3 linked regions of the Caenorhabditis elegans genome follow. The protein of the gene in region 1 interacts with the protein of each later gene in a pairwise test. Each region holds a gene or a part of one and is shown in the gene's direction. Other genes may lie near its edges. The genes, in order: F47G4.4, F07F6.8 and apc-1.

What was found.
Region 2: the proteins of F47G4.4 (region 1) and F07F6.8 interact in a two-hybrid assay, tested with the Caenorhabditis elegans proteins (one large-scale study listed by BioGRID).
Region 3: the proteins of F47G4.4 (region 1) and apc-1 interact in a two-hybrid assay, tested with the Caenorhabditis elegans proteins (one large-scale study listed by BioGRID).

The regions. Positions count from the first base shown.
Region 1 is NC_003279.8:14,061,923-14,071,494, reverse strand, and holds F47G4.4 (WD_REPEATS_REGION domain-containing protein), read left to right. Parts: upstream 1-2,691; 5' UTR 2,692-2,729; coding exon 2,730-2,742; intron 2,743-3,819; coding exon 3,820-3,935; intron 3,936-4,948; coding exon 4,949-5,206; intron 5,207-5,740; coding exon 5,741-5,881; intron 5,882-5,935; coding exon 5,936-6,083; intron 6,084-6,135; coding exon 6,136-6,236; intron 6,237-6,649; coding exon 6,650-6,829; intron 6,830-6,876; coding exon 6,877-7,014; intron 7,015-7,329; coding exon 7,330-7,628; intron 7,629-7,685; coding exon 7,686-8,017; intron 8,018-8,064; coding exon 8,065-8,229; intron 8,230-8,277; coding exon 8,278-8,450; intron 8,451-8,501; coding exon 8,502-8,606; 3' UTR 8,607-8,746; downstream 8,747-9,572. Other genes in the region: F47G4.5 (Katanin_con80 domain-containing protein), read left to right, coding at 9,383-9,513, 9,570-9,572.
Region 2 is NC_003280.10:5,422,449-5,428,143, reverse strand, and holds F07F6.8 (Apolipoprotein L3-like), read left to right. Parts: upstream 1-2,410; 5' UTR 2,411-2,425; coding exon 2,426-2,515; intron 2,516-2,888; coding exon 2,889-3,008; intron 3,009-3,065; coding exon 3,066-3,485; intron 3,486-3,532; coding exon 3,533-3,628; intron 3,629-3,676; coding exon 3,677-3,907; 3' UTR 3,908-4,003; downstream 4,004-5,695. Other genes in the region: rfgp-2 (ARF GTPase activating Protein), read left to right, coding at 1-41, 97-262, 319-417, 469-570, 663-695; F07F6.7 (Apolipoprotein L, 1), read left to right, coding at 4,313-4,348, 4,399-4,518, 4,565-4,984, 5,033-5,128, 5,176-5,301; Embryonic developmental protein tofu-6, read right to left, coding at 5,480-5,572, 5,627-5,695.
Region 3 is NC_003280.10:11,105,474-11,111,883, forward strand, and holds the start of apc-1 (Anaphase-promoting complex subunit 1), read left to right. Parts: upstream 1-2,687; 5' UTR 2,688-2,750; coding exon 2,751-2,804; intron 2,805-2,857; coding exon 2,858-3,187; intron 3,188-3,231; coding exon 3,232-3,661; intron 3,662-3,946; coding exon 3,947-4,093; intron 4,094-4,097; exon of another isoform or gene 4,098-4,139; coding exon of another isoform or gene 4,140-4,344; intron 4,345-4,398; coding exon of another isoform or gene 4,399-4,549; intron 4,550-4,829; coding exon of another isoform or gene 4,830-4,915; intron 4,916-4,961; coding exon of another isoform or gene 4,962-5,126; intron 5,127-5,176; coding exon of another isoform or gene 5,177-5,284; intron 5,285-5,331; coding exon of another isoform or gene 5,332-5,544; intron 5,545-5,589; coding exon of another isoform or gene 5,590-5,696; exon of another isoform or gene 5,697-5,734; intron 5,735-5,757; exon of another isoform or gene 5,758-5,880; intron 5,881-6,410. Other genes in the region: C09H10.9 (YqaJ domain-containing protein), read left to right, coding at 1-53, 98-236, 285-412, 457-489; nasp-1 (Protein NASP homolog 1), read left to right, coding at 1,163-1,275, 1,327-1,693, 1,743-2,318, 2,377-2,469; glb-4 (GLOBIN domain-containing protein), read right to left, coding at 4,140-4,344, 4,399-4,549, 4,830-4,915, 4,962-5,126, 5,177-5,284, 5,332-5,544, 5,590-5,696. UniProt on the Caenorhabditis elegans protein: Probable component of the anaphase promoting complex/cyclosome (APC/C), a cell cycle-regulated E3 ubiquitin ligase that controls progression through mitosis and the G1 phase of the cell cycle.

The DNA.
Region 1 (9,572 bases):
GGCAAGAAGCTGCAGGTAAATGCCGAGTAACTAGATATTGATTATTCTCCAAAAATGTCAGCACTCTAGCTCTACTGGTAGCAAAGTTATGAAGGTTTTAAGTTGCGGGGGCGCCGCGACGCGCACGCCGACGCACACGCCGACGCAGCCGCGCCGCATGGCCACCAAACTTCAAAACGCCGTAACTTTGTTTATTTTGAAGCTAGAAACTTGAACTTTTTTGCAAAAATCTTAAAATTTTACGATCTACTTGTTTTTCTAGAATTTATATGAAATTGTTTTTTTGTAAATTTTTTTTTCTTAAAATCAAGAAAAAAACTTGGTTCCTGTTTCTTTGGCATGTTTCAATTGTTGCATTCACTCTATAGAAATAAGTACCAAATCTAGTAGTAGCCAACCAGCTCAATTATTCCTGGGGGTTCTTCTCTCTCCCCCTCTTCAGCTGCGCAAACATACAACAAAAGGAGGCGATGGGGGGTGAGAGGGATAGTGAGACGCAGACATTTAAAGACAAGAATTCGAAATGCGCCTTTTCTTTCTCTATTCGTCCGTCCGTTTCTCGTGCCTCCGGTTGCCGCGCGGGGTCGGAACATTAGCATAATGTGTCTCTGTATCTGCCGTCTCTTTTCCCGCAATACTCTCTACAAGTACAGCACGACAGTGTCATCTTTTGCGGGGGGGGGGGGGGGGGGTGAAGAACAGTACAACAACAACCAACCCTAATAATATCATAGTTATATTATTATTTGATTGTTCCTAATTTTGTATACATTCGAGATTTTCCGAAAAAAATTTTTTTGAGCATAGTTTGAAGCGCCTATAAATGTGCCAATTTGCAAGATATCAAAAAATTATTAACTAGTGATTTATAGTACTAAAATTTTGCTACATTTCATCAGTTGAAAAATTTTTGATAGATATTTTAGTTTTGGAGATATACGAGTTTTAAAATTGTAGATTAAAAAAAATTGAAATTTTTTTTGAGCAAATTTTGAAGCCATTTTAACTTTGCCAATTTGCAAGCTATCAAAAAGTAGTTCACTAGTAAATTATAGAACTAAAATTTTACTACATTTTATTAGTTAAAAAGTTTCTGACAGCTGTTTTAGTTTTGGAGATACATGAGTTTTAAAATTGTAGATTTAAAAAATTTGAAAAACATTTTTCAAAATTTTCAAACCCCTGTAATTCTGAAACTATGAGACTTGTCAAAAAGTTGCCAACTAACAAAATTTAGCAAATTTCTTGTCAATTAATTTTTTAGTTGACAATTTTTTCTATGTTCATTTATTTTGAAGCTAGAGAGCCACAACTATATAGAATTTTATTTTTTTGAATCAATTTTCTCCAACTTTTCAAGTATTTTACGCATTATTCATACCTTAAAAGTGACATTTATTACGAAAAAGTGATAAGGGGGTACCCTATGGCAAACATGTACTCCTCCTCCTCACTCACGTTCCGTTTTTGCTCTCACTTTATTTGCTCTCTGTCTTTGCTTTTTCTTGTGTTTTTTTTTTGTGAATTTTGCTCCGTTTTCCGCTAGTTTTCCTTTTCGACTACCGAAAAAGAGCATTTTCGGTGATAAAAAATTACTTTGCAAAATTTTGCTAAACTAGAAAAAAACATTTTGTGAGGGAATTTTTTGCTGAAAAATATGAAGTTTCTTAAAACAAGAAAAGCTTTTAAAATCTATTAAAACTTTAAGTTTTTTTAAAAATCATTTTTAAATTTTATAAATATAAAATTATTTAATTTTTAACCACCTTTTCGAAACATTGATATCTTTAACTATTATCATATTTTCAACAAATTTTTCATATTTTGTTAAATTGTAAAAATAAAATTTAAAATATGATAATAGGAAAAGATTTCAACGTTTCAAAAATGTGGTTAAAAATGAAAATTAAAAAAAAATCTTAAATTTGTTTTACTGTTACATCTTTAAAAACTACAAAATTTATTTCAAAATTTATTTTTGAAAATTGTTTAAACTAAGCAAATTTAAAAAAGTTTTAAATCACTCCAACTTCAAAAAAAATTAAAAATTGTTGTGGTTTTTTTTATTTTTAGTTTGAACTTCCATATTTCAAAAACTACTGAATTAATTAAAAAGTTGTCAACTAACAAAATAAAGGAAATTTTTTGCTTAACATTTTGTAAATTGACAACTTTTTGATAACTTTTCACAAATTTGAGGTATGGTAGTTTTTTCTTTTATAACTTTTTATTGGTGGCAGCTATCAAAAAGTTGGCAACTAAAAAAATGGTGCAAATGTTATGCTTAACATTTTGATAGTTGACAATTTTTAAAAATCTTCAGTTTCCCAGAAGTTATGCCACTTTTTCTCTCCCCCCCCCCCTCCTCGAGTTCTTCCTTGTTTTCATCTATTTTCGGCCCTTTTTCCAAAATTCATTGGATTGATTCTTTCCAATGTTTTTCAATGTTTTTTTCATGGTGTTCGGTTTTAGGATTTTAATTGAAAACACACACCCTGGTGTCTATTTTGTCTATTTTCCCGAAAAAAAAATCCGAAAATAAAATTTTCCCCCTTCTTTCTGTCTCGACGCTCTATAAATTCAATTTCCCTCTTTTTTTCTCACTTTTTCTATTTTTTTTTCACTACTGTACAGCTCTTTAAACTGCGGTTATTTTTGGAAATTTCAGCTAATTTCAAGATTTTTTTTCAGTGTCATATTCTTCCCATGCGGAGCAAATTGTACAAAACATGAAAATTGAAGGTTGGTTTTGATTTTTTTAATTTAGAAAATGCTAATTTTAATTAAAAATACATATGTATGCTGGTTACTAAAAAAATTTCAAAAAAATTTTCCAATTTTCAAAAAAAAAATTTTTTCGAGATTTTTTCAAACTTTCATATCTCCAAAACTACGAGAGCTATTAAAATGTTGCCAACTATCAAAACATAGAAAATTGTGTGATAAACATTTTCATCGTTGACAAAATTTTGATAGCCTTGCTCTCCGCAGAGTTAGAGGAGCCTGAAGTTTGTTGGTACTGCGTTCAGGCTGACTGGAATCTTATAGGGTAACAACTATAGGTTTTAAGGTACTTTTACAGTAAAAATTAATAAAATATTGCTCTTTACAATGTCATAAGTAAAATTTAGAAAAAAACCACAATTTTGAACATTTGAAAGTTTTTGACCAAAAATGTTTTTTTTTCTCAAAAAACATATTTCTCCAAAATTTCTAAAATTTTGCTCACAATCAGACTTTAAATTTCATCCAAATCTATTCCAAACTCTCTAACTATGCCAATTGATGACGTAAACTCTAACCCAAGCTTCTGGGGTGGAAAAGTAATTAAATTTTAGTATTGTGGTGCACCCGCCTGGAAATTGGAAATTGGATGTGTTCCATGCTCCTCTAAGAGAAAAGAGGGCCGTAAAAATAAAAGTACAAATGTATTCCCAAAGGGTTTGTCTAAATTTGGAGGAGAAAAAAAAAATTTGTTCGAATCTCAAAATATAAAATTTCCAATTATAAATTAAAAATTTGCACTTTTGGATTAGTATATATTGAAAATTTCAGAGCCGTAGCTTAACTTTGCACTGAGTTATAAGGCTTCAAAGTATCTAGTTCAACCGCGACGCAACCGCGCCGCACCTACTTAACTTCAAAGCCCTGTAACTCAGCTCAAAATTGACCTACAGCTTTGAAATTTTTTCTCAGAGCTGATTTTAAATTAAGCTTTCATTATCGTTAGCAACCAATTCATTGGGCCGCGACGCAACCGCGTCGCTTCAACCAAATTTTGAAACTCCTTAACATATAGCAACCTTTCCCATTTTTCAGTGGTATCGGCACTACCGCACTCGACGGTCCATTCGGCAGTCCTTTCGCGTCGACACCGCTCCGTCATCTGCGCGGGACCATACGAAGTGCTTCCACTGGAGGGGTGTTCTGAGCCGGTAAGTGTTCTTTTTGTAGTCCAGGGCCATCTGCTTATAATGAGTGGGACCACATGTTGCGAGTCTCTTTCCAGAGCAATTATTCATTGTTTTGGGGCGTTTTTGGGGTCAGACGGATATAAAAGGATTATCCAGATTTTTAAAAAATCTTACATTGTTCACAGTTTGCAGTCAAACTTTGGAAAAAACCTAAATTACAGTGTCAAAAAATTTCAGAGCTCTCGGTCTTTTGAGAGCTAAGATATGAAGCTTTAGAATTTTGACCAGGCGTTGCGGTCGCGTCGCGGCCACCTCCTAAACTTTAAAGCTTGATAAATTTGCTCACCAAGGTCCTAAAGCTCTGACATTTTTGCAGAAGCCTCAAAATTACATGTACTATTCAAATATCTAGCTTTAAACTTTTTAAGCAACAAAAAAAATTTTCGGCCACCCATTTAATTTCCTCCTCTTCCGATCTTCCCCCACCCCGTATAATCCTCTTTGTACCTAACGAGCCGTCAATAATCCCCTCGGCACTTTCGCTGCTTATCGAACCGTAGTTGTCAATTTGAGAAGTGTTACTGTCTCTGCGTCTCGCCTCTCTAATAACAAGATTCTGCCCAGCGATAAGTTTTGATCCGGAATTCTCATGGGGATGCGAACATTGAAAAAGGGTGTGAAAGGGTTCCATATCTAGATGATTGATCTGCTGGGCAGGGAATTTGAAAAGTCTTTGGGAAGGGGGAGCTGGAAAATTTTCAATAGGTTCATAACTTGACAGGAAATGTTGAAAAGAATAGCTCTAGCCGATCTAAAACTTCAGAAAAAATTTCAGAGCTCTGGCACGCTTTGGAGCATAGTTATGGTGCATCGAAAATTGGCGCATGCGGCGCGGTCGCGTCGCGGTTATCTAACTTGGCTCAAAATGGTCCTAGAGCTCTGAAATTTTTTGAGTGACTCTGTTAAGTTTACCACATTCTAATTTTCTATAAAAGCTTGAAATGTACCTATTTATACAAAAACAAATTTTTCAGCTCCCAAGCACCTCAACTCTCAGTGAGCTACCCATCGAGTGCCTCCGACTCTCCACAGATGAACGGACGATCGGTGCGGCGACAAATGCGATTCTCAAAGTTGCGGATATTATAACAGGTCACGAGGTGCGGAATCTAACGGGACACACCTTGCCAATAACCTCCCTAGCCGCTAGCAAGTTCAACCCTTACTGCTGGTACACCGGGTCATCGGATTGTGATTGGACGCAGTGGGATACTAGGATGAATCCGTCTAAAGTGAGTTGAAAAGTGCAAAAATACTATCCAAAAAGTGTCCAAGCTTCAAATCCTCTGTGATACCGAGCCGCGACGCAACCGCGACGCGTGCCCAAATTTTTATCAAAAATGGCAGATAAATACTAGATAACACTATTGGCCAAATTTCACACCTCCGACTCAATTGTGAGCAAAGCTTTGACATTTTAAAAATTGAGGTAGACCGCGACGCGACACGCGACGCACTGCCGAAATTTTATGGCACCGTAACTTTGCTCCCAGTCGTCGTAGGATTTTGAAACTTTTTGTGAAAGCATTCTCTAGAAACAGACTTTTTTATAGACTTTCAACGCGCGTTGTAAAAGAAACTTTCTAATTTTGAAGATCGACCGCGACGCGACACGCGACGCACGCCCAAAACTTCAATACCACATAACTTAGCCCATAGTGGTCCAAATTTTCTGAAACTTTTTGTAATCACCATATCTGAAATAAAGCAGTTTTTTAAAGCGTTCCCAAATTTTCTGAAACTTTTCAAAATATAATGATTTTCAGATTTTCGGGTCCAAAACCCCTGGCGTTGTTCGAAGTATCGCATTATCACCTGGTGATCGCTATGTAGCAGTTGGCACCGACGAAACTATACAGATTTTCGACGCCAGGCAGCGGGAATTTATCAAAACTTTTAACTGTTCGGTAGGTGCTTTTCACTGGAATTTCTGACCATTTTTAAAAAATCAAATTTTGCAGGGTCACGCACTAGAGCTTCACCCCAGCGATGTGCTCCTCTCCTCCGTTGGTCATGATAGGATAGTTCGGTTTTTCTGCCTAGAGACTTTTGAAATGATATCTCAATCCGATCCGTTTCTGGATGATATTCAAGCCAGCGCTTTTGATAGTAAGAATTATATTTAATTTTGGGCCAAAAACATCAAAAAATTGAATTTCAGCCCACGTCATGATAGCTGCTACCAATGATTCTATCAACCTGCTCACTTGGGAGCCCTGCTGTGATATTCTAACGACAGTACCTCTGAAAAATGTGGAGAAGGTAGGGATAGTAACTTGACAACACTTTTGGCTCACTGAAAAATGTGAGCAAAAAGTGTTGTCAGTGTGTGCTCTAGTATTAAAGATCCTGTAACTTGCGTACCAGTTGACGTAGAGTCTTCAAATTTTTAGACGACACTTGTAAGCTTTCACCCACGCGTTGCGGTTGCGTCGCGGCTTGGCCATCAAATTTCTTAGCTCTGTAACTTAGCCAACTAGTAGTCCTATAGACTTGAAACTTAGTCAAAAAGTCACATCGGAAAGCAAATTCCTATCTTATTTTCATGAATCCAAATTTCTAAAAATGTTCATTTTAAGGCATTAACCCAACATTTCAACGCCAGTTATGATTGATTATTTTTTGGCGGAGATTCCAATCTTCTTCCCTTTGTTATGAATTCCATGCCATTTCAGGTCGTCAACGTGAATGCAAACGGTCTGGATTTAGACTTTATTTGCATTGGAGACAACACTGAACGTCTCGAAATGCGCACCTACGCTATAGAAGAGCTGCTCTCCTATTCGCCGAGCCACGAGCTCTGCGGGAGCATTTACGAGGAGGATGAGGATGTGGATAACTCGCCGATTGATGAGGTATTAGCTTTGGGTTTGTACTTGGGGTTAATGTAGGAATTTTCCAGGTAAAAGCGCTACCGGAGCTCACAGAGTTATCGAATTTGCCGCCGAGGTCGCCTGGCTTGTCATGTGAAGAGACGGAGACGTCAGCGTCACCTGTGAATAGTAGCAGCAGCCATTCTAGCCCGACTAGTCCCGTTAAGGTAAGAATAAATTTTTGTCAGAGGCCCATATCTTAAGTACGGACTGCTTCTGGGCCAGTTTAAAAGGCTTCCGAGTCTCATTTTATTGGCCTAAAAACTCGTAAGCTGTCTCAAGTCGTTAGTCTCAATTGCAATTTTCCAGTTTTAGACCAAAGTCTGTATCTAAGTTCAATCCCCTCAATCTTCCTCACAAGACAGTCTTTGAGCTTTGTAAAACCTAAAAGAGCTCTCCATATATTTTCAAACCCTCTAGGGAGTTCCCTCTCCCCTGCTCCAACAGCCGCAGCTTGACATCCAACCTCTTAAATCTTACAGCCAGCTCCCGTCAAACACCGATCGGCATCTCAGAAGCTTCCTGGAAAATCGACCAAGACCCTGAACCCAAAACCAGCGGGGTCCACACGCTCTGTGACCCCAGTCTCCACAAAGCCACCTCGAACATTTGGCACCGCAAAGAGTGTGATTGTCTCGTCGAAGCCATCACTAAGCGGGTACAATAACCGCGCGAATCCGTCGCCTTCTATGTCGGATTTGAGGACGACAAAGTCGATGGCAGGGTCTACGACGTCTTTGTTGAGTGAGAGGGCTCCGAAGAAGCGGTCAACGTCGAGCCGGTAAGCAGGACTAGAGGAAGTAAAGTTTCAAAACTCTAAAACTTTCCAATTTTCCAGCCGTAACCAAGAGCCCATCACCATCACCTACATTGGCCGCCCACGTACCCCTAGCGAAGGAGACGTCGCATCTACAGTATCCTCCTCCACATCCCGCAACCGTCGCCCATCGCCTTCCGTGGCGAAGAAGACCTCCCCTCCGTCAATCTACGCGATCACCTCTTCCCCGGCCAAGCGTGCCTCCTCCACCGCTTCAGGGCCTACTGCCAGACGCCAGAATTCCACGTCATCGGTGACCTCTACCACGTCGGCCAAGACGCCTGTAGGGGTCTGGGGAGCTTGTATAGAAACTGTACATGACATCGGGATAGTTGCGAAGAAGGAGAATAGAAGTGAGTTATTTAGGATCTAGCTTGAAGCGTTAACTACTGGAATTCAGACATCCGACGGCTCAAGATGCTTACCTCCCGTCGAACGAGCAACGTGGATATCCCTCCAGAAGTGTGCTCCGATGAGCAACTAGTGTTAACCGCCACGAGGATACTGAGCAGGAGGAACGATTGGTCATTGAACAGCTGTCATGCCTACCTTCCAGTCATAATAGGTAATCTTGCTTGGTAGTGAAGGTCGTAATGATGTTTTGAACTTTCAGACAACATAGCCAGTGTAGACGTTACAAATCGAGCTATAGCCCTGGAGGGTCTCGCAGCGATCGCTGACACCCTGGGGGAGAGGCTCGTGAAGTTTGCGTCCATGAACTCCCATAGGATAGGAGTAGATGTGGCGGCGGAGGAGAGGGCCGAGAAGGCGAAGGCATGTGTTCAGGTAGGCATCTTGTAGGGGTTTTGCCCTTATTAACCCTACAAATAATTCCAGCACCTCCGCTCCCTGGTCAAAAAACGCGACTGGTACTACAAACAACTCGACGAGCCATCCATTCTCAAACTCGACCCGATTCTAGAGCTTTTAAAGAAGATCTAGCTACCTCATCTGTGATATATTGTTAAGCATTCCCACCACCACTCGCATTTTTGTTCTTTTGTCTTGTCTTTCAGTCATTTGGGTCAGAGATTTTCAGGTTTCTCTACGAATTCCCTCTTTTTAATAAATCATTGAATCATAAATCATAAATTTTACTTTGAGGGCTTCTTATTGCAAAGTCGTGAGTTGTGAGGTGTGAAAAGGGATTTATAATTCATAAGAGGGGGATTTCAGAAATCCTAAAGTTATTGATAAATTAAAAGGTTTTAAGCCAGCAAGCCCACTTGTACACATCCGAGTCCTGAGTCCGCAGAACTTTTCAAGTGCCCCCGCAAAGTCCCTAGGCTTTTAGGCCTTCTCTAGACCCTCAATATTTAAAATTTAATCACTATCTATGTTTTGAAATCCTACTAATCTATACCCCCCTCCATATCTCCATTAAAAGATATAGCGAACTTGCGTTGCTATGACTCCCTCTAGCCGCTCTCCCCTACAAGCCCCCTGCTCCGTGTCCCCTCGTGTCGGTGACCCAGTGGAGAAAATTGACGTCTTCCGCTTATGTGTCTCTCCGCGCTTGTCTTCAAGTTTGCAAAGAACCTATAAAAGTTTGTCTTTAGTCCTCTCTATATGTACAACTTTTGCGGTTTTTTTTTGGTTTAAAGTTCAAGTCTGTCGGGTTTAGCTTGGGAATCTTCCCAAATTCCGCTAATCCTCTCCAAGTCCCGTTCTTCTACAAACTCATTTTCCTTCCAGTGCAATTCAGATTTCTAAAGAAAATGGCACTAACAAGCGTAAGTGTCTATGAGCTGAGTCGTCTAGGCCCCCCACAGCAACCTGTACGACGAAGGTCAAACTCCACAAAGGTTCGGAGGAAGGATGCAGAGCTCGGGTCCGTGGATCGGAAGAGGTATGTGCCCCCCCCCCCTAGATTAAGTGAGCGTTCAAATTCTTTAAACTTCTCAGAAA
Region 2 (5,695 bases), on another chromosome or scaffold:
GAAGATGATTTCTTTGACTCATTTGAGACGCAACCTGTGCAGTAAGTGAAATTATATAAAATTAATTTAAAACACGACTTTACGACTTTTTTCCAGAAAATCCCGCTATACCGCATCTTCTTCCTCTTCGTCAACATCCCGTGCACCAACGACTCGCCTGACTGCTGGAGCATCTCCAATTTCGGATGTTGATCTTCAGAAGAAATTCGGAAATGCTAAAGCTATCTCAAGTGATATGTACTTTGGAACGCCTGAAATGGATGTATGTTTTTATATTATTGGTAATATTTTTAAATTTACAATTTTATATATTTTCAGTGTGAAACAAGAAGTGCATTGACCAAGTGTGAAGGACAGACTTCATTTGGATCCGAAGATTTGTGGGGTAACGGAAGCCAGCAACGTCAATCTAGTCAAGTAAGCTCGAAGCTGTCATCGAAATTAAAATATTCTAAATCTAATTTTCAGGTTCCTGATATGTCTGATTTGAAAGATTCTTTCCGTGCCGGAGCTTCAAAGGTCGCTGAGAAATGGTCAACGCTGTCGAGTTCATTCTCTACTTACATGTCGGTAAGTAAATTTTTATTCCAAAGTTTTCTGGAGGTATTGAAAAAATATAAGACAGTTTAAAAATTAAAATAAGTTTATAATCCACAATTCAGCGTGCTCCTCCAGCAACTGGAGAAAAAACATAAATTCCTGGCTTTTAACGGCGAGTTTATCCCATCCGTAAAATTGGTTTTTAATGTTGTTTTCTTTTAGTTTTGTCTTTATCTTTTATTTTTCAACCTATGGGTTTTTGTATTCTCACTGAATTTCGGGTCTTTCAAAACTTTTTTACTTTATTTTATTGAATGTTGTGTGTCATTGGGTTTTTCAATTTCTTTTGTCGTTGTGAATGTTTCATATATCAGTTTTGTTGGGCACAAACTTAAGTTAACTTCCATTCAAAAAAAAACCTTCAAATTGAGAAAATCGTAATTGCAAGCTGTGTAGATTTACTGTAAACAACACACACATCCGGAATAACGGAGTGTCGTAGTTTATTTTCATTTTTTCGAATTTCGTTTTGTTTTAACAATTATATTTTTCTTCTAAATTCCTTAAGAGCGTTTCAATTTTTTTTTGTTGAAAATTGTCATGACTAGCATCTAACTCAGGGAAATTTAAAAAAATTTCTATAACTTGAAAATTCGCTTTGCATTGAGCCCTGACCAAAACAAGTCACCCTCTCAGCTGCTCATTTTCTTATTTTCGTCGCGAGAACGCAAACAAGGATAAACTTGACCAAAAAACACGTTTGTTTACCATGCAAGCTTTGTTTTTTGGTCCGAAATTGGTTTTTAATACGTAAATATGTACCCATAAATACTGAATAAAAGTATCAAAATTAATTCGAGAGACATTTTTTTTTACTTTCAATTTCCGAAGTAGATTAACGAAATTTCGTAATAGTTTGGTCACATTGTGATACGTAGCTGTATTAGTGTTCGTCTGGGTCTCTTCTTTTATAACTATAATAACCAACTTGAACATTTTTATTTCAGGACCGCTAACTTCGTCCTACTGCTCTCCATCGACTTCATGATTCAAATCCCAATCATCAATCGATAATTGCTCTCGTTCGCCTTATTTCCCAATTCTTCCCATTTCCGCTTCGTATCATACCTACTGAATTTTCTTATCAATATACTTGGGAACTGTCTTATTCTATGTGTGATAATATTGCCTTTATTCGCCTTCCTCATCATAATTTAGTCAACTTCTTCCATTGAAATTGAACAAAATACTAGCTGCTGTAGTCTTCACCTTTTTCTCTCTTCATTCTAGAATCACTTGATTCTCACTCAGTGAGCCTTGTCCCACCACAGTCTCTGTCGTCTCTTTCTCTAATCGAGAGGGTCAACGTGTCATGGGAGGCACCCGAGAACGACATAGAAGAGGGGGAAGGCCATTGGGTTGTAAACATGTGATTCTTCGATCGATTCTATCTTTTTTTCGTACATTTTTTGTCGTTTTCATTTACCCGTCTTTGGCTTTCCCCCCTTCTAGATATTTATTTTATTTATTGCACCATACTAAATTCTAGATCATATTTTCTAAACCAGTCCTTGTGACTTTTTGGGCAGTGTGGGAAAATCAGGAGTTTTTCATCAGTCACTTGTTTTCCTGTTTTGATTTTTGCGTCAAATTATTTATGTCGCGATCCATATTTTTCCGAATTTACATGTTAGCCCCAGTCTTCCAACTTTTGTTTCCTTCTATCAAAATGCTCTTCCCGTCTTGGAATTTTTCGAAGTTTAGGGTATTTTTTATTGATTTCTGTTTCACTTCTAATCCTCCCACACTTCGCGATTTTTAAATATTTTTCTGGTAATGAACTCATGTTTTCATTTTTGTCAAAATTCAGATAAAATCAGACAAGATGCAGATCAAAGATGATCACGACGACGCAGGTTCTCAGTCGGAAGACAACGGAGTTCCAATTTACGATTCATTGGAAAGCTTGCTATTTGTAAGATTTTTTTTAAAGTTTCAATAATACGGTACTGGGTATTTTGTAAAATTCCAGCGGGTGTGCGCCTTTAAAGAGTACTGTAATTTCAAACTTTTGCTGCTGCGGATTTTTACTCGACTTTTCATTGTTTTTTTCCCTAAAAAAATTGTTTTCAATAAACTAAAACAATGAAAACACAAACATTTTCAAAAAATTGCGAGAAAACTATGAAAAGTCGATGAAAATTCCAAGCCACTATACTTCGAACCTACTGTACTCTTTAAAGGCGCACATCCGGTTGTATTTAACAAAAATTGTCGTATCGAGACCGGGTACCGCATCTTTCCACAAAAAATTCCCGTCTTCGTAATATAATTATTAATGAATTTAGATTCCAAGGTCAATGTCAAAAGAATTGAGTGAAACAGCATTGCGTACACAGTTTTTATTGGACAAATGGAGCAATAATCGAAGAAAAATTGTCAGACAAATGGAAGGAATTGCTGAGAAGGTATGTACTTTAATGCGAGATTTTAATCAAAATGAATTTTAAAATTTTTAATTTCAGCTGGATAATTGGGAGAAAGGATGTGCAATTTCAACAGCTGTCGGAAGTACCGTTGGTATTGCATCTGGAATTGCAGTTATTGGAGGACTTATCTTGATGCCACCAGTTGCAATTGCTGGTCTCATCGTTGGAACAGCTTCAGGAGTTTCCAATTTGGCGACAGGCATCACGAAATTTTTTCATACAAAAGGGCAGCACAAAGAAGTAGCTGCAATGATTGCAGAAGACGGTGTACTTTTTGAAGAACTTCTGAAATCAAGAGAAGAACTTATGGAAGCTGTTCGGAAAATTGTTGAAGATGAGGAATTCTTTAAACATTTCAAAAACGACGGGGACATTGAAAATAAGCTGAAAACTGTGTTCGGTGGATCAGTTACTGGAATAACTGGAATTGGAACTAGATTTGCAATTACTTCGATGGTAAGCTCTTTTTATTATTTTTTTCATCAATATTATTTATTTTCCAGGGTCGCCTCTCCTCTTCTCTTGTCAAAGGAGTTCTTCACAGTGTAGCTGTAATTGGAATCGTTCTAGACAGTGTCACATTGGCGTTGAGCGCCAAGGTACAACAATTAATTTGAAATTTTCAAAATAAAATATACAAATTTCAGACTCTTGGAGAAGGATCCGTGTCGGAACTTGGATCTTCTATTTTAGAAGCATCTTCCAAAATGGAAATGATGCGCCAAAAAGTGGTAAAACACTTTTTGAATGAAGACGTCTGGAAAGACGATGATGACGTCCTCTCCGATGTTGGTTCTATTGAAATGGTGCAGCCAGAATCTCCAAATCAGTCACTGATAATGGATCCACATCAACAAGAATCATCTGTACAACATTAATATCGGGATTTTGAATTTTTCTGGGTTTCACTACTGTTTTGTTGTTATTTTGCGAAAGTTTCATGCGAATAAATAAAATAAATTCGGCACTTCAAGTGTGGGCATTGTGAAAATAACGGAAACCCGAAAATGGTAAATATCGATTAAAATCCAGAAAGAATGCGAGCTACAGTATACTCTACAGTACTAATTTAAAGGCTCAGATGTTCAATATTCCAGGTGGTCTTGAAAAGACACCTCATTGCTCAGAATAAAAATCAAAAACGAATCCGTGTTTTTAAGGAATTATTTTTTATTGTACTGTAACTTGTCTTCATTTAAATTCTTGTTTTCTTATTAAATTATTCACTATTTCAAATTCTAAATTAACTGATTCAGAGACTTATCTACAAACTGCAAAGCGATATGTCAATCTATGAATCTTTGAAAAGCACGTTGATGGTAAGATTTTTATTCAAATTCATTTTTTATAATTTATATTTCTTGTTCAGAATGGCGAAGAAATGCCAAAGGAACTCCAGGTTAAAGCCTGGGGAGCTCAATGGCACCTCGATCGTTGGAGCTCAAACCGACAAGAGATCATGAACCGAATGGAGGAGATTGCTAAAGATGTAGGTCGATAAAACATAGTTTTTCTATTTATTTTCTAAATTTCAGCTTGACGGATTGGAGAAGGCTTCAGCCATCGCAACAACTGTCGGAAGTTCCGTTGATATTGCATCTGGACTTGCAGTTTTCGGAGGACTATTCTTCATGCCACCAGTTGCAATTGCTGGTCTCATCGTTGGAGCAGCTTCCGGCGTCTCAAATGTCGCAACTGGAGTGAACAAGAAGCTTGCTACCGATCATAAAATCAGAGAAATCAATCGAATGCTCGCGGAGGATGCGAAGTTTTTTGAGGAACTTCTTCATTCGAGAAATGATTTGTTGAACGAAGTGAGGAGATTTGTGGAGGACAAGCAATCGTCAAAGATTTTCAAAAACTTCGACGATGTCCAGTCTCATTTGAAAACACTTTTTGGTGTTTCTCTCGCCGGAATCACAGGATTCGGAATTAAAATGGCCGCATCTTCCATGGTAGAATAGTTGTTTTTTTGAAATTTAAATTTTTACCTTCGTTTTTAGGGCCATCTCACGAATGCACTTATGAAAGGAATGCTGCAGAGCGTTGCAGCCATCGGAATCGTTCTGGACGGTGTTACCCTGGCCATGAGCGCTAATGTAACCGCGAACAATGTTATCAAAATATAATATTAATTTCATTTCAGACGCTTAAAAACGGATCTTCCTCTGAATTGGCAGGAAAAATTCGTGAAGCTTCCGGCAAGATGGAAAGGATGCGACACAATGTTGTAACCAACTTCTTGAATTACGACGCCTGGAACAGCGATTAGTTTTCACTTTTCAAAGTTTCTTGATTTTTTTCTTGTTGATTTTCTTTTCTTTTTGTTGTTTTCTCGTTGTTATTTTTCTTGTTGTTGTTCTTATAAAATCTGACACTGAATTAAAATGTTCATTTTTTTGACAACATCATAGATTCAATGTAATTTCGACAAAAAAAATGGGACAGATTTACAGCTCGAGCTCACGGAGCATGTTCTTCACTCCATCAATCTTCTTGAGTAGATCTTTGACGACATCAGCATCGTTCGAAATTTGAGCAGTCTGAAAATAAAGCCAAATTAAAACTGAAAATCCCTTTAAATCATCAAATCTCACCACTCCAGAATTATTGTGCTGAAGAAGAGTCTCGCGGGAGTATGCATAGTGTGGCTGCTGACTGCGTGG
Region 3 (6,410 bases), on another chromosome or scaffold:
TTGCAAAATGGATAGAAAATTTTGTGTATCCGGATGTCGCCGACCATGTTAATGTGAGGATCTACATTTTTTTTCACCTGTCATTACAAAATTTCAGGCATTTGAAATTTCGCTGATAAGAATTACGGAAGCCGGCACTAACAAAGCTCAAGGTGTATGTAAATATCCGGATAATAAATTCACAACGATCCGAACGCCAGTTTTCCAGGCTATGAATTTGCAGGAGGACAAAGAAAGTAAGTTTGATAGTGATTAAACGAAATTCAACAAAAACTAGATTGCAGATCTGAAATTGTCGGACCATCCAGTTCTCCTCGGCATTCTCTCCAAACCCCCAATCGTAAAATGTGGAGTAAAACGACGACACGACTCAGAAAATGGGGAAAACGAATTTACAATAAAATTAAAGAAGGTATTGAAACACAGCAGTTAAACATAATTTTAATTTCTTTTCAGAAATCGCCTAAAACGACTTCTGAGCGGACTTAATTACAACTTGGAAGATTCTCAACAATGTGCCATCGAGTTTTATGTGATATACAGTTTTTCTCTAGTATTTAGAATAAAAGTTTTTAATAAATTCATTTTGTTAAAGAACTAGAAGGAAAATAGGCAAAAGAAAATGCAAAAACAAAAAAGAAAAAATAAAGAAAACTCCAATTGCTCGTCATATGTGATGCGTTACAGTAATATCTGTGCGGCACGCAGACGCAACATTGCACAGCGCGGGAAAATTTGTTGTTGACAATTTAAGTTTATACTCCCAAAAAATTGTTTTTTCTCTTTTCAAATGAAAGTTTTGCTGAAGTATTGTGTTTATTTTTGTTTAATTAAAAGTTTTTAAGCGGCGGCAGTGTTAATAAGTGATTCAAGCTGGAATTATCAACTGAAATCAACCAAAAAATCGGCCTGTCGGTCTGTTCTAGCGGTAGAATTCTAAAAACATCATGAATACAGTTTATATGTTTGTTTAAAAACATTTATTGATAAACCTTTTCGAAACGTACTAATTCCCGCCGTATGGCCGGTTTTTAGTGGACTAGGCAACGCTCGGTTTCTAGGCTCTCCCGCGCTATTATACTCATTTGAATTTATCCGCTTTTTATTGAATTTTGAATATATATCGAATAGTATTTATTTTCAGATATTAACAAATCAGAAAATGGACACTGAAAACATCGCCGACGCCTCTGATATTCGTGTGAAGGATGCTTCAGGAGATTCAGATGAAAAAGGAAACGGGACTACTACAGAAGAAGAGACTGTCGAGCAGAAGTAAACTTTTGCTGCAGAATATCATCAATAAAATCACTTTTCGTATTCCAGAGAGAAGCGTCTCGCCGAGTTGCTTGCAGCTGGACGCCGTGCGTTGAAAGTTAACGATATCGACAAAGCATCGGATTCGTTGAGTGAGGCTACTGAACTGAGCTCCGAAATTTATGGAGAAAACCATGAAAACACGTTCGATTCTCTTTACTATTATGGCATGGCCACACTGGAATTGGCGAAGGAGGAGAGCCAACTTCTGAAAGGTCCAGGTGAGAAGGAAAGCGGAGATGAGGAGCAAGCTGGAAATTCTGATGACAAGACTGACGAAGAGAATGGAGAAACGGAGAAGGAGGACGGAGAGGAATCCGGTGAAGAAGAGGACGATGATGATGATACCATGAAATTATCATGGGAAATTCTTGAGGTTTCTTATTTTATTCAATGATTTTATGCTTAATTGTGATTATTTTCAGACAGCTCGTTGTATTGCCGCTGCCAAAATCGAAGCTCTAGAAGCTGAGCAGAGTGGAATCAGTGCCATTGAGGAATGGAACCTGAAACTCGCTGATGTACTGGTTCTCCTCGGCGAGCACGGAATATCAGATGGAAAGTATACTCAGGCTTTTGAGGACTTGGATCGTGCCCTCAACATTCAGCGCAATGTTCTTCCACCGTCGTCGAGAAAAATCGCCCAAACCTACATTCTCATCGGAAACGCGTGTGCTAGCGATGCGAATTACGATGAAACCGTTCAGTACTTCGGCAAAACCAAGGACGTACTCATCGCCAGGCAGACTGAGTTGAAGCATGAGCTGGAAAGAGGTGTTGATGATAAGGAAAAGAAGTCTGAATTTGAGAATGAGCTGAAGGAGCTTGAAGAGATGATGCCAGGCGTTGAAGAAATGATTGCTGATGCTGTGCACTCTGCAGCACAAGTTGAGGAAACTAAGAAGGCCATTAAAGCGCAATTCGAAGGATTCACACAAGTATTGGCAAAACTTCCACAAGAAGCCGGTGATCAGAAGGAAGCAAATGATATTTCTAGCTTGGTACGGTTTGAATTAACTTCCCGTAGACTTTTTAAATATTCAATTAACAAATTTCCAGGTTCGTCGTCCAGCAAAACGAGCAGTGGATGCTCCAACTGACAATCAAGCAGTGAAGAAAGAAAAGGAGGAGGAAGGAACAACTTCGATCTGAATATTGATAACCTGTAATTCTAAATATTTCATCATGATCTGACCTACTGAACTACTGATAATGTATCAATTAACATTTTATCTGTTATCCGAATTTAAGGATTCTAAAGTAAAACTTGTTCTGTATATATATATTCGCCATATATTCGTTTTTATAATTTGTTTCAAATCTTTTTCATACTTCCAAAATAATTTTACTATTTAAAACAGGATTTTCAGCTTCATTCAAATTCGAATTATACTTGTATGAGTGAAGAATTTGATGATTGCCATTGGAAAAATATGATCTCTGCTAATAAACAGTTTGATATTCAGCTGGGAGATGAAATTGGAAAGGTAATTTTTTTTAGATAATTAACAATTTAAAAAAAGTAAACTTAAATTTTCAGGATTTCTTCACCCAGGATACAGTGGTCTGCGCGTTTCGAAACAAGGAGAAGACCACGGATTTTGTCTTCACATCGGGTCCAATTATTCTCATTTGTGATGGAACGACGCGACGGAAGATGATTAAACGACGGTTCAAAATGGAGTTTGATATCAAAAAAGTGTTCTTCCACTCGTTCATTGTGACTCGAAACGCTGAAAAGTTGGCAACTGAGAATTGTGGTGGACCTGATACGAAGCATCGGGATTATTTGGTTGTGTGCGGTGAGCATAAGCTCCAGTTCATATCGCTTCCCGACTATCATTTCTATCACTATGAAATTCCTTTTAAGGTGAGAATTTAGTTTGAAATTCTGATAATTTCAAATATTTCCAGCTTCGCAACGTGTTCTCCTGCTCGACAAGTCTTCTGGTCGAACGGTTCTACGATTCATCCAGCGAACAAACCTTCCACCATCACGACACATTTCACCTCTACTCGCTATCCGGTCCATTCGGCGAGCTTCTCCCGGTTATCTACAAGACAAGCGGCTACCATCCACAATGGAAATTCTGTTGGCAATCGCATCGAGACGAGGCTGGACTCGTTGACGCTCAGCAAAATTACGTTGTTGTCTATGATCAGAAGGAGAAGACGCATCGGATTTATATGGCACGAGAGACACAAGAACAGGAAGTTCACGCAGCGATTCGATACGTTGAAGCACTCAGAAGACCGTCTGATTCAACAATGTTCGCGTCGAGTTTGGCGCCGAATTCTGCCGGCAGAACTACGCATTTTGATCCGACACTCAACTCTCCCGCCGGTAATTTTTGAAAACTTGAGCTTTTGGATAAATATATTATTCGTATTGTATCAGACATTCAAATCGTCAATATTTAGTTAATTTACAGTGATTTAAGTTAAAAACCAAAAAAACCTCGTTTCGAACAGGAAATAATTCGATTTTCCCCAAAAACTACTAAAAAAATCAAATGTTAAATTAGAAAGAGTTGTGATTAAAAACTAAAAAATAAATATTTTCAATTATGATATAGTGTGGAAGTCCGAGTTAATTTATATTCAACAAAAAATCATAATTATTTTCCAGAAAATGTGCTCTCCGAAGTGATCAGCTCGGAAATTGATAGCCGCTCACCGTTCACTCCTCATCTGCGATCCGGTTTTGGACATTCTACTCCAAACAACCCGAACGCTCCAGGCTACCCTGCAACACTTCCAACACCGAATTTTGAAGGTAATTTTTTTTTTTAATTCATAAAAATTTATTAGCACCATTAACCTCAAGTCGTGGGCGATCGTGCACGATGATGATGATCAAAATTTAAAAGTGTTATGCTTCGCCGTTGCTGATGCGCTCGTCCTGGCACTCGATTCTGTTTGACTTGATCTTCGAGGGGGCTCAATTGAGACGTCAACTTGAGCAGTTGAATGTCGCAATTATTTAGAAGAATTGACGGGTTGTTGGGAGAAGACATACGGCGGTTTCTGAAAATACGTGAAGTGAGAATTATAGCTGATGTCCGTCAAATTGTTACATACCGTAGTGCTGTGAAGTCTTGGCTATTCCTTTGAAGAGCTCCACCCGCGCGGAACATACTTCTTCGTCGATATGGAGTAATTGGAGATGATGGCTGAGTTGTTGTAGTCGTCGAGTTGCTCTCTGTTGAGCCAAGAAGAGCACACATTGGAGCTAGATTTGAGTAAATTAGAATATGAATTTAGCCAACAGAAACCAACAACAAAAAAACTATAAAACGAAAAGCACACGGCACACAGCAAACCTAGAAGTTAGTGTATTTATTGTTATATATATATATATATATACGTGGTGAGAAGGAAAGTGTAGAAGCGAACAAAATCAACTGAAGAATATCGAGAAAACTATCTAAGTGATCTACGAGGTGGTGGTGGGCGGTGTTTAGATGATGGTGAGCTACGACACGAATGTGAATGATGAACTTGAGACGCACCGATTGCCGGCGACATGTTCGGTTCGAGAAAATGGGAGGCGGATCGGGAACGTGATGAACGCATCGATGCCATTGAGATTATCGAGCTGGAATGTTTAGATTTTTTTGTGGAAGATATGGAAGAGCACTTACTTTGTAATGCTTAACCGAAGAGGTGTCTTTTCACTTGCACATCCCTCATATCCTCGTTTCATTGATTCGATTAACATGCAGGAAAACTGTCTCCAAGACTCACAAACTTCTTCTTCTTCACTTTTCTCCGCTGCCCTAGACCTTATTCTCAATATTCGCCGAATTCTGAAAACCAGTTGATTTCCCACCCGTGATGTAAATTGTCAAAAAGTTACTTGCTATCCTCTGTGACAACCCGCATGTACATTTTGCTCATGGCGATCGGAAGTTGTTGGGCAAACGGAGCCCAAAAGCAGTTGTCATTTCCCTCATTCATATAATGTCTATAAACATTTTTGTGAGTGTTGTCCCACCCACGCATATGACTAACCGATGGCGTGCTCCGAGACGGAAGGAAAGCGTCTTGATCATTTCTGGATCACATTTGTGAACTTTGATGAGTATGTTGAGAAAGTCACGAACTTGATTGATGATGTTGAGAAATTGAGCATTTTCCTTATAGGTAGCGTGCATAGTCTCTGGTAGATCAACAAGAGCCCATACCCATGTGGGTGTTAACTCGGCGGATTTGAGCCAAGCCTCACTGAAAACAATTGCTTTTCAGGAACAGTCTGAAAAAAGAGCTCACCTAATGGCATCACTCAGAAGCTGTGGATCGTGCGAGTTTATTGTATTCCACGTATGTACTACATGTTTTCGATGTGTAGATAGTTGACGAGCAGACTGATTGCCCATTTTGTTGCATAGTCCGGAAGATCTCTGATACACTGAAAATGAGCTTCATCATTAAGTATCTCATCTATCCTAACTGAGCCAATCGTAAAAGAACAGAATGAATCAAAGAATGGATTTTCTCTTTTCTATCTGTTTATAGCAACGGAAGCTTCAAAGAGAGTAGAAAGAGCACACAGTTGTTTAGCATGCTCTTTTCGCGAAGGTGAATAATGAATAATTATGGGTATTCGAATATGTTATGATGAGCTCACGAGGACGTAACATTATTCAAAGAAATAGCTGAAGAAGTTGTTTTTCAGACATTCTCGTCGAAGATGCAATTTTCACAGAAAAAAATTGAGAAAGGAAGTGCGTCGATCTTCTCAAAGATGATTATATAAAGAGAAGAAGGTCACTCATGTGATAGGAGGTTCAAAACAATGAAAATGCAGAGCCGATTTCTTTTTAAAATCGAGTAAAACTTGGAGCGGCCGCCCGACTTAACTAATAGCGTCCGGAATATGATAAATGGGGCGGCGTCTTGGTGCTTCAGCATTGCAAGATGAGACCAGCAGCAGATGTAAAAACAAAATACGTCCTCGACTAAATAAGAAAAATGATTGACAACGACGTCCGATGTGTTCTGGCAGCTATAAGGAAGAAAAAAGACGTGGGAGGGGAAGGAGGAGTCGAATTGCACACGATATTCTGAATTTCGTTCTGAAATTCGTCTCG